Linked DNA regions of Neodiprion lecontei. The protein of the gene in region 1 purifies or fractionates together with the protein of each later gene. This does not show direct contact. Links are inferred from orthologs where the notes say so. Each region holds a gene or a part of one and is shown on either strand. Other genes may lie near its edges.

The links.
Region 2: the proteins of protein FAM98A (region 1) and RNA transcription, translation and transport factor protein purify together in Homo sapiens (affinity purification with mass spectrometry; 4 studies listed by BioGRID and IntAct, with this or other methods). This does not show direct contact. The link is inferred for Neodiprion lecontei from reciprocal best matches to the Homo sapiens genes FAM98A and RTRAF.

Annotation. Positions count from the first base shown.
Region 1 is NC_060266.1:24,793,068-24,797,902, forward strand, and holds protein FAM98A, read left to right. Parts: upstream 1-1,975; 5' UTR 1,976-2,213; coding exon 2,214-2,251; intron 2,252-2,592; coding exon 2,593-2,959; intron 2,960-3,067; coding exon 3,068-3,358; intron 3,359-3,450; coding exon 3,451-3,749; intron 3,750-3,854; coding exon 3,855-4,152; 3' UTR 4,153-4,203; downstream 4,204-4,835. Other genes in the region: protein MIS12 homolog, read left to right, coding at 305-474, 623-760, 877-1,164. UniProt on the Homo sapiens protein: Positively stimulates PRMT1-induced protein arginine methylation. Involved in skeletal homeostasis. Positively regulates lysosome peripheral distribution and ruffled border formation in osteoclasts.
Region 2 is NC_060266.1:183,828-188,181, forward strand, and holds RNA transcription, translation and transport factor protein, read left to right. Parts: upstream 1-1,780; 5' UTR 1,781-1,903; coding exon 1,904-1,964; intron 1,965-2,067; coding exon 2,068-2,289; intron 2,290-2,382; coding exon 2,383-2,481; intron 2,482-2,574; coding exon 2,575-2,939; 3' UTR 2,940-3,687; downstream 3,688-4,354. Other genes in the region: probable serine/threonine-protein kinase nek3, read right to left, coding at 1-536, 706-747, 1,033-1,152, 1,276-1,357; AN1-type zinc finger protein 2A, read right to left, coding at 4,050-4,354. UniProt on the Homo sapiens protein: RNA-binding protein involved in modulation of mRNA transcription by Polymerase II. Component of the tRNA-splicing ligase complex and is required for tRNA ligation.

The DNA.
Region 1 (4,835 bases):
CTGCCTTTATTCCCACGTTTCGCGTATCAACCGCCAACTGAAACCCTATTTCTCATCTGTATTTCCATTCTGATTGCGATCCGTTCAGTCTCCTCGCCAGTTTCTTTTTCTAATCTGTTATACTTTTTCGACAACTTGTTTCTACTCATGTTCCGTTTCACGTACGGCAGATAACGTCAGGCTCTTATGCGACCTTTCAAGTCTGTTTTTACTGTTATTATCAGCGCGATCTAAATCTTTCACATTCCTATGCTTGTCAGGCTCGCTTCTACGTGTTGAAACATTGGCATTGTAATCGTTTCAGTAAAGAATATAATAAAGGAAGAGGTACGGTCGGTCTGTCAGAATCTGAGCAAATCCATTGAAAGTAAATATAAACTGGGCAGTGAGGAGCTTTCTGTTCTCAGAACAGAGGCTAAGGATTTGGTTCAGACTTATGAAAACAGAGCTGAATCTCACATGGAATCATTGAATGTAATTATTCCTCTACAGTGTCTTTAGTTTCATCTTCTAAGAAATTTAACAAACGTTAAAAATCCAGGTCATCTTGGTCTTAGATTATCGCCACCTCTTCATCCGCGATTGTTGACAATTGTACTGTGAACCTGACATTGTTTTGCAGAACATTGTACGACAATTCATTGCAATTCCTGACAACGTTTTATTAGACGAGGATAAAGGTCAAGCTGTTCAGGTCAGCGAAGATGAATTCGAAGAACTGAAGACCAAGATGGACAATCTCCAAAAGAGAGCCGAAGGGGTCAGAATAAATTTCATGAAAATGTTTCCATGTAAAATACCACTTGGAAAACCTATACTCGTTATAAATTTAAATTGTACCCTTTGTTTCATTTAATCGAGGGTGATTTTTGATAGGTCACAATGTTCAACGCCGCTTTACGCCAAGAACTCGAACTTCAAAAAAGATTCAAGGCCTGCGAGGACGCGATAAACAATGCGAGCAGGGAGATTAAAGATAACACCGTTGTACCAAATTTGGATGACCAAATAACAGAATTCATCCAGCAATCGGAAAAACTTAGAATGCAGCTACCAATTCCTGAATCTCAATGCGAAAGGCACAAATACAATCCACCCTTGGAAAATCTTAAAGATTTTGATCTCGTATACCGTGAAACTTTAATTAATACTGCCAATGAATAGAGCAATCTTACTAAGATGTTATTTGTGGCCTATCAAAGTCTAGAAGAATCTTGAGCATATATGTATGTCTAGTTATATTTTTTTATACACAATTAGGTCATTAGATTTTTTTCAATAAAACTATCTGTTAAATCCTGGTTAATTTCATTTCCGAGTTAGCGAGTTGTCGCATGAAAAACATAAACTTAAACTTTGCGCTATCTTGATTATGCTACGCAAAGGTTGTTGCAACAGATAATCTATCAGCTGAGTTCGAACCTCTTGCAGTTTCAAGTTAAAAAATAATCGTAGTCCTTCAAAGAAACAGTTTCATTTGAATTTCTGTGTTACATTGGAATCATTTATTGAGATCTAAACTTGCTTGCATTATTCTGATTCTCGATCGTCAGAATTATCGATTGTATTAATACTCTACGATTTGTTTCCAATTATTATTGCTTTTGTCAGAATAGTTACCCATATTTAATTCAAGTCTTAACGTTATCGAGTTGATCCATCTACTATCCATTTGAGACTTCCCCGAATTTTTGTTCTCTTCGTTGTTTTCCTTTGAGCTATTATAAGATACACGAAATAATTTTATTTCTACGTATTCAGTACAAACTAATGTATAAAGTCACATCTTTTAGCCATGCCATATTGTTCACAACTCATCATCAACATGTCTGTTTACCAACGTTAAATATTAAATGATTAAATACACATGTTGATGCTCGATTGTTTCTAGAACGTTCGATTGGATTAGCAGATAATACCATTTGAAAATCATGTATTATCGAGTCGTCGAGTTCAGTCTATTTCTAATTTCACCGAATCGAGGGATTTCCGATGTCGTGAATTTGTTCAATGGTGGGGATGGCATGTAACATAAAACGGGGTCCATTGGAGATTAGAAAAGCTCGACAGCAGCTTTGCACAGTGTGCTTATTCGACAGTCGTCAGTTCCGACAGCGGACACGGAATTTTGTACTTTCCTCGCATGAACTTAAACCGATTGATTTATTAACATTTCTCCTAAAAGTTCCGTTTAAATCAAACGGCCAGTGCCAATGGAAACCGATTTGTTACAGAATCTGCAAGACGTTGGGTATGTGGGCAAGTTTTATAGGTTACACCAGTTACCGGCTGATGCAAAGCATTGCCGATTACTAACTTCACATGTGCAATATTTTAGGCTACTTTTTTGAGTAAGGAAACAAAGCTACTGAGTTTCCTCAGAAAATCAGCCTAATATGTTCGAAGTTATGAGGATGTTCAATATTATAAAAAAATTATTGGATAATCATATAGCCGAAAAAGATACCCAAACTTGAAGCTCCGAATTAAAGTAACGTTCACAATGTTATTTGTAAGATAATCAGCAAGTTTGTAAAGAGGATTTTGAACTCGCGTAAAAGATCTACTTAAATTTTGTGCTTGATTCCGCAGGTATAGCGGGGCTCTATCTGACGCGAATGAGTTGTCCAAAGCTTTGAAAGACGGCCCAAAGTCAGTGGAGTTCACTAAGCTGGTGGCGTGGCTGGCAGAAGAATTGTCTGCATTTGGAGAGGTGGATGACTCCGTAAACGCTATAACCACGCCAGAAGATTCGAGCCATTTTCTGCTCGAATTAAGTTCATTTCTCAAGGAATTAGGATGCGCGAATCAAAACCTCATTGGCGGTACTGTGAATCAGAGACTGAGTACAAAGTACGACAGACTCGTTTTACTAGATTATCTGGTAACCGAGCTGATGACCAGCAAGATATTAGGATCATTTAAATCTGACGCGGATCAACAGATGGAAGTAACAATTGTAAGTGTTGTAATTGTTATCAATGTCTAGTTGAATCTATCGATAGTGAATTCTGCTCCGTCTTAATTGGATAACTGTCATGTTGCCATTCTTTATTTTTACTTTCAGAACGAAAGCGACACAGCCAGACATCTCAAAAACATGTTGTTGGCATTGAAGTTTCAAAAACCTCCAGATAACATAAGCGCACAAATGCTGTTCACAAAACTAACTACTAAGTTGAAGGAAGTTGTGGCTCAGGCTCCCCCTGATCTACTCGATACGCCTTTATTTGTGGGCGAGCTATCGAACGACCAATGGGAACGGCTGAATGAACTCCAAGAAGAATTCAAGAACGAGTATAAAACCAGAAGGGAAATGTTACTCAAAAGATTGGATGTCACGGTGCAATCTTTTTTGGTAAAGCATTAAATAACGTCTCACAAAATTCTAGTAAATTTGATGAAATTATCTTATTTTGGAATAAACTAATAACAATCTTAATTTTACAGTGGTCAGAGAATATAAGGTCAAAGGAAGATCAGGTCAACGCATCCTACCAACAAAAACGGAATATCATGTCTCCCGAGCCAAGTGTTTGTATTGCTGATTTACTTGCCGCAAGACGAGATTTAGCCATAGTTGAAAAGACCAGCAATGCTACTGTACGAAAAAATACCAGGAGCCAAGTCAACCAAGTCATTATTGGGGCAGTGCCAGATCGTGGAGGAAGACCTTGCGACCAGCAACCACCTCCACCCGAAATGCCATCTTGGCAAAAAGACCGCGTTGCTGGGCCGAATTCGTCCAGGTAAAACGCGATCTCACAGTATTTTTGTTCATGGATTGGGGTTCTGTGACTTCGTGATACTTGTTTAAGCACATCAATTGAATATCGTTTCAAAATATTTTTCAGAGGAGGCAGAGGCGGAGGTGGCGGTGGCGGTGGCGGTGGATATCGGGACCACAAAGATGCTTCGAAAAATTTTGGCCAAAACCAAGACAGGTTTCAATCGCAGCAGCAATATCAGCAACAGCAACCACAGTATGAAAGTCGTGGTGATTACCGTGGTCATAATCAAGGAGGTGGAGAGTATCACAGAGGCGGTGGAAGAGGTAGAGTGCAAGGAGGATGGGGCGGAGACCGAGGTACAAGTGGCTATCAACGAGGGAATTCTAATCGCGGAAGAGGTCGAGGTGGACAGCACTATTAAGACAGTTGCGAGAAAAAAAAAAACGGCAACGTCTAAAATAGATGTTATAACGTGCCAGATTAAAATTCGAGTTAAACTTAAATCGTTAAATTTATATTTTGCTATTTCGTGAGATCTCTTTTGTTAATTTTATTTAGTTTGCGGTTCTTTATGTTTGATCAGACGCCTCATGGTTGTTAAGGTTGGTTCTTTACAGGTGCAAAGCTTGTATCAATTTTTTTGTGCTGCATTTCATCCTGATTCATAGTGAATTTGTTCATCACGTTTGCTCGAAATCGCGTTTTGTAATATGCTTACGGTTTCAACAACATACGGCACATAGCGTTTTGGAATTACCACTGAGTGAATCCTATGTTGGTTTTGAGGCATCGAATGAGATTTGGTTTTGGAAATGGGAATGGTGTTTTCAAGCATTTAGAATCTTTATAAATAGAGACAGCACAGTTCCCGCGCAGCTTCAGAGAGAGTAAATGGTACAGAATCGCTGTCTCATGAATCCTGTAAACCCCGCAAAGTAAGACTTCGTGAGATTGTTAATGCATTACCTTCATCTCTGTATTTCATCACACAATATTTTATTTCCCATTTAACCTGAACCAAAATATTCACATGGAATCATTAAAAAATATCGTTGATCATTCCTTCGGCAGCTGTGTTAAAAAGTATTTTGTGGTCAACCCAAG
Region 2 (4,354 bases), about 25 Mb from region 1:
TAACATCGGACTGCTCTCAGGCGTTACTGTGTCGATAGGGACAATGCCAAGCGGCAAACTCTGTTCCTGTTCCTTCGAAAACGATTTCCTTGGTGTCTCTTTAACTTTTCGATATTCCTCTCGATTTTTATTCTCATCTGCATCCTGAATTTCGTCACTTTGCCCTGGCAATTTACTGTGGTAGCTAGGATCAGGTTTTTTTTTCGCCGAAAAGGTCTTCGCTTGTAACCTAGTTAACTTTACAGGGGTTTCGATTAGAACCAGCCAATTTTCAGTCAACGTGTTGTCTGCCACAGCCAATACCCGTTTTTTTCTATCCGTTACGTTACGCTGCTGCGGTTTTAATTCCGCCACGGATGTTCCGCTAATGTTGTCATTCATTTCTTTCCGCAACCTCGACCTTAATGGACGATTTGCTATCTCCGGCTCTTGCAAAGTATTAACTTTGTCAAGTTTCAATTGTCCAATCGGCGACTCAGCCTTGTTCTCACTATCGGAATCGCTCGAGCTTTTTGTAGGCTTCCGTCTACGGCTTCCTGAAAGTTTTGTAAATCAGGTATGAAAGATATTCTCACTCGATATAAGAAATAAAGCTTCAGGCTGTCCAGCGAGTAAACAATTATTGAATTCTCTGAGATTCTCAGATCCTTTAATATGCTGGACATCCTGAACCGAACGTTGTGACAAGCGACAAATTCATCTTACTAGTCGACACAGCAGTGTTGCCTGCGTTCTCTGGCAAGGCACCTGCAACAGAACAGTAATATATTTAAATTATATAGGAAGAACGGTATTAATATTATAATCATGGAAAATAGGACAAACTTGTTTTCAAAATACTTTGATCTTAATCACAAAAGTTGTATGAGGATAATTTCTGATTGACTGATTTTCCTTTCCCCTTTTAATGCAAGATTAAATAAACAACAGTGCCAAGTTCGGTCACCCTGTTATCAAAAGTTGGACAATCATATGATGAGATACAGTTGTACAAGATAAAACACTGAAGGAAAGTAAGACGTTTATTTGTACTTTTTCGATTGCGTCCCGATGCGGTTGACGGTGTTTTCATAGTCTTTGAGGAGGTGTTCGACATCGCCGCCGGCAAAGCTTCCGCATTCTCGTTGTCATCGTCGATAAGTGTCCGCTGATCTGAAATTTTAACGGAGACGATCCATTGGTTAGGGATGGCGAGGAACTCTTTCCATTTCTCGCCGTCCGATTTGAGAGGGCAATCTAACGGCGCGTGTTAATATTGACATGCTTATTGCTTACGCTTTCGAGTGAGGCGTTGGAATTGTCGTTGGGGTGCCGGCATGCCGCTCTCGTCGCTGCTGTGCTTCCTCTTCCGCACCATGTTTACCTTTCCAGAACCACAGGAACGTCGTAGACAGCGTTGAACCGATCCGCGATAACCGACGACAATTTTCACTGACGGATCAGAATTATTTGACGGCTAATTAAAATCTGTCACCCGTCTCTTTTCCCGCTATCGTTGCTTGCTCCCGCTGTTTTGCCCGTTTTTGCACCGCCTTCGGCGTTGAATAACGCTTTTCTCGTTTCAAAGTTTGAAACCGTTGATCGGGGCGCTGCTGCCAGCTGCCTTGGCATGAACTCGATTCATTGCCTTAGAATAACGACTCACAAGTGTATCCAGGGACATGCGTGAAAACGCGCCATATTTTACAGTCGAAAACTTCTAACAAGTCACGATCCCAACTATCGACTCGTTCGCGGGGTGTTGAGTGAATTTCATGCCTTCACATACTCTTTGGCGTTCACTTCCTTACAATGTTTACTCCGTCGATAATTGCGGTATAGCACTGACTTTCAGGTGTACTTTGTCTTGCCGTTAAATAAGAATTGTAAATAAATTATAACCGCGTAATTTTCCACTTATAAAATGTTTAAGAGAAAATTAAAAGCGCTAGATTACATAGACCGGGATAAGATAAACGCGAATGGTGAGTCGCAACCGGTTAGCCGGTACACATACAAAAATTTAACCTCCGGTCTCTCACAAGAGCGATAACAATTTTTCTGAAATTTCAATAATATCGTCTTTAGACCCACAACACTTTCGCAAACTGGTCGTCTGGCTCGAAGACCAAAAGATACGTCACTACAAAATTGAAGATCGAAAGGACATCAGAGATATAAATTCAACCAGTTGGCCCGAAACGTTCAAGAGATATTGCGAGGACGTCGCTTGTCCGATAACTACCCAGCCCGTGGATCAGCTCGAATGGTTGATCGGGTTTGCCATCAAACTGGAGTTCGAGGATAACTGTAAGAACCGTACCATGTTTGTTTGGGTACTACTGAATTCTATTTTCAGGCACTTACGAAAATTTGAGTTTCATTCAATTCAAACTATTGCAGATAAAAAGTATCAACCGATAACAGGCAAGAGTTTGAAAGATATGAATAAACCGGTAGCACCCAACATAAAATCATCAAACCCGTTAGACAATCTGGACTGTGAGTATTATATTTCAGACAAAACTTTTTGAACTTACGAACATGACAAATACCGGTATTCACATTTTTTAATTCTATTTTCGATGATTAAAGTTCACAGTGCAGAGTTTAAGAACGGAATTGAAGAATTACGAAAGCTACTTTGCATTCCTCGACATTCAGATCACCTTGTAACTCTGCAAGCGTGCAGTAAGATAGTTTGCATGAGACTGAATGCAGAAACTTTATTAAATCCAAAATCGATAGTGTTAAAGGGAAAAGAGTTTCCGATATTGGAAGCTGAGTTGGGATTCAATATGGGAGATCCAGTTCTGAATAATGCGGCAAAAATCTTGAGATTGCTGTACATTCAGGATTTGAGGGACCTTCAAACACGAATAAATGAAACAATTGTCAGTGTTCAAAATATCACTGCAAATCCAAGGACTGATACGAAGCTTGGAAAAGTTGGAAGATAAACAGTTAGTCATTACGATTCCCATTGCACATTTACACACACGAATGGGATGTTAAAAATTTTGCTGACGTTCATTGGCTAATATTGTTTGATAACAATAATTGATATCAATTTCTAACAATGAACCAAGTACTGCTATTTATAGACAAATTGATTCGTCATATGTTAGGCGTATTTGAATAATGGAATGTAACGATAGGTCAAAACTAATAAATAATTATAATATACAATCGCATTACATTCGTTGATTGTCTTTTTTCACTTGCTTGTATTGATATCGAATGAATTTAGATGTGAGGAATTCTTTGAAACCTAAGTTTAATGGATAAGAATATAACTCAGATTTCACAATATGTTTATAATAAATATTTATTGTATGGATAAGAGTAGAGGAAAATTTGCAAGTAAAGAACTTTTTACTCGTTTCATAACACAGTTTCTTCTTTTTTGTGTTACAATAAAGCTGGTAGTAACTATTTATCATGACGAATGTACAGAGGCAGTTTGGAACGTGATTTTTCGCAATGTGTATATAGATTATTTTTAAATTATTTACAAAAAATTGCGTAATTAATTAATCACTAGACAGCGATCAGAAGTCTTAATTTGTTACATCATTGCGATTATAACTAGACTTGGTGAAATAGAATTCATGATTGGATAGAATAACTAATAAGGATATGTTTATGTATAATAGTTGAGGAGACTTGATTTAAAATTTAAAGTGAATGTAAACGACTTAAGAGCAACTGACGAAAAAAAAGCTTATATGAAAGATACATAGTTCAATATTTCTTTCAAATTCTCATATATTTAGATTTATAAAACTAAAGCTTAATTTAATGTGAAAAAAGACAGAAATTCAGTTTCCTCCCGTAATAGGCTCAATTATAGAATAGGATTTTGAAAACGTCCAGTTTTTTGATCATCCATAGCTCGTAAGAACCCGCCTACTAATTGATATTTGATGCCTAATTCTAGAAAAGATTTAAAAAAAAAAAAAAAAAAAAAAACGCATCTTCAGCAGTTGACAAGTAATTCTACCAGGATTTCAACACGTCTGTTCTTCGTTGCCGTCACCGTTATATCGTGTTTATAAATTATAAAAGAACTAAGAGAGCCTGCATCTGCCTTTGTTCCCGAGTGGAATCTCTTCCTCTTGACAAGACTCGATCCTCCCGGTATTTTCTTCATCTTGAAGAGAGGCTTGTAAGGCCCTGGCCAAGGCTTCGTCCTCGCTGATAGTTCCTTGAAGATTCGTAAACAGGCTAGAATTGGCATTTTGATTATTCTGTGGGACTTGACTCTCGGCCTGTTTGTTAAGAGCTTCAACCCTCCGCTGACGCATGGTTTCCTCTTTTCCCACACAAGCGTGATCGCAGGGATGCCGGTGTTTCAAGCAAAAGTTTTTCCCGC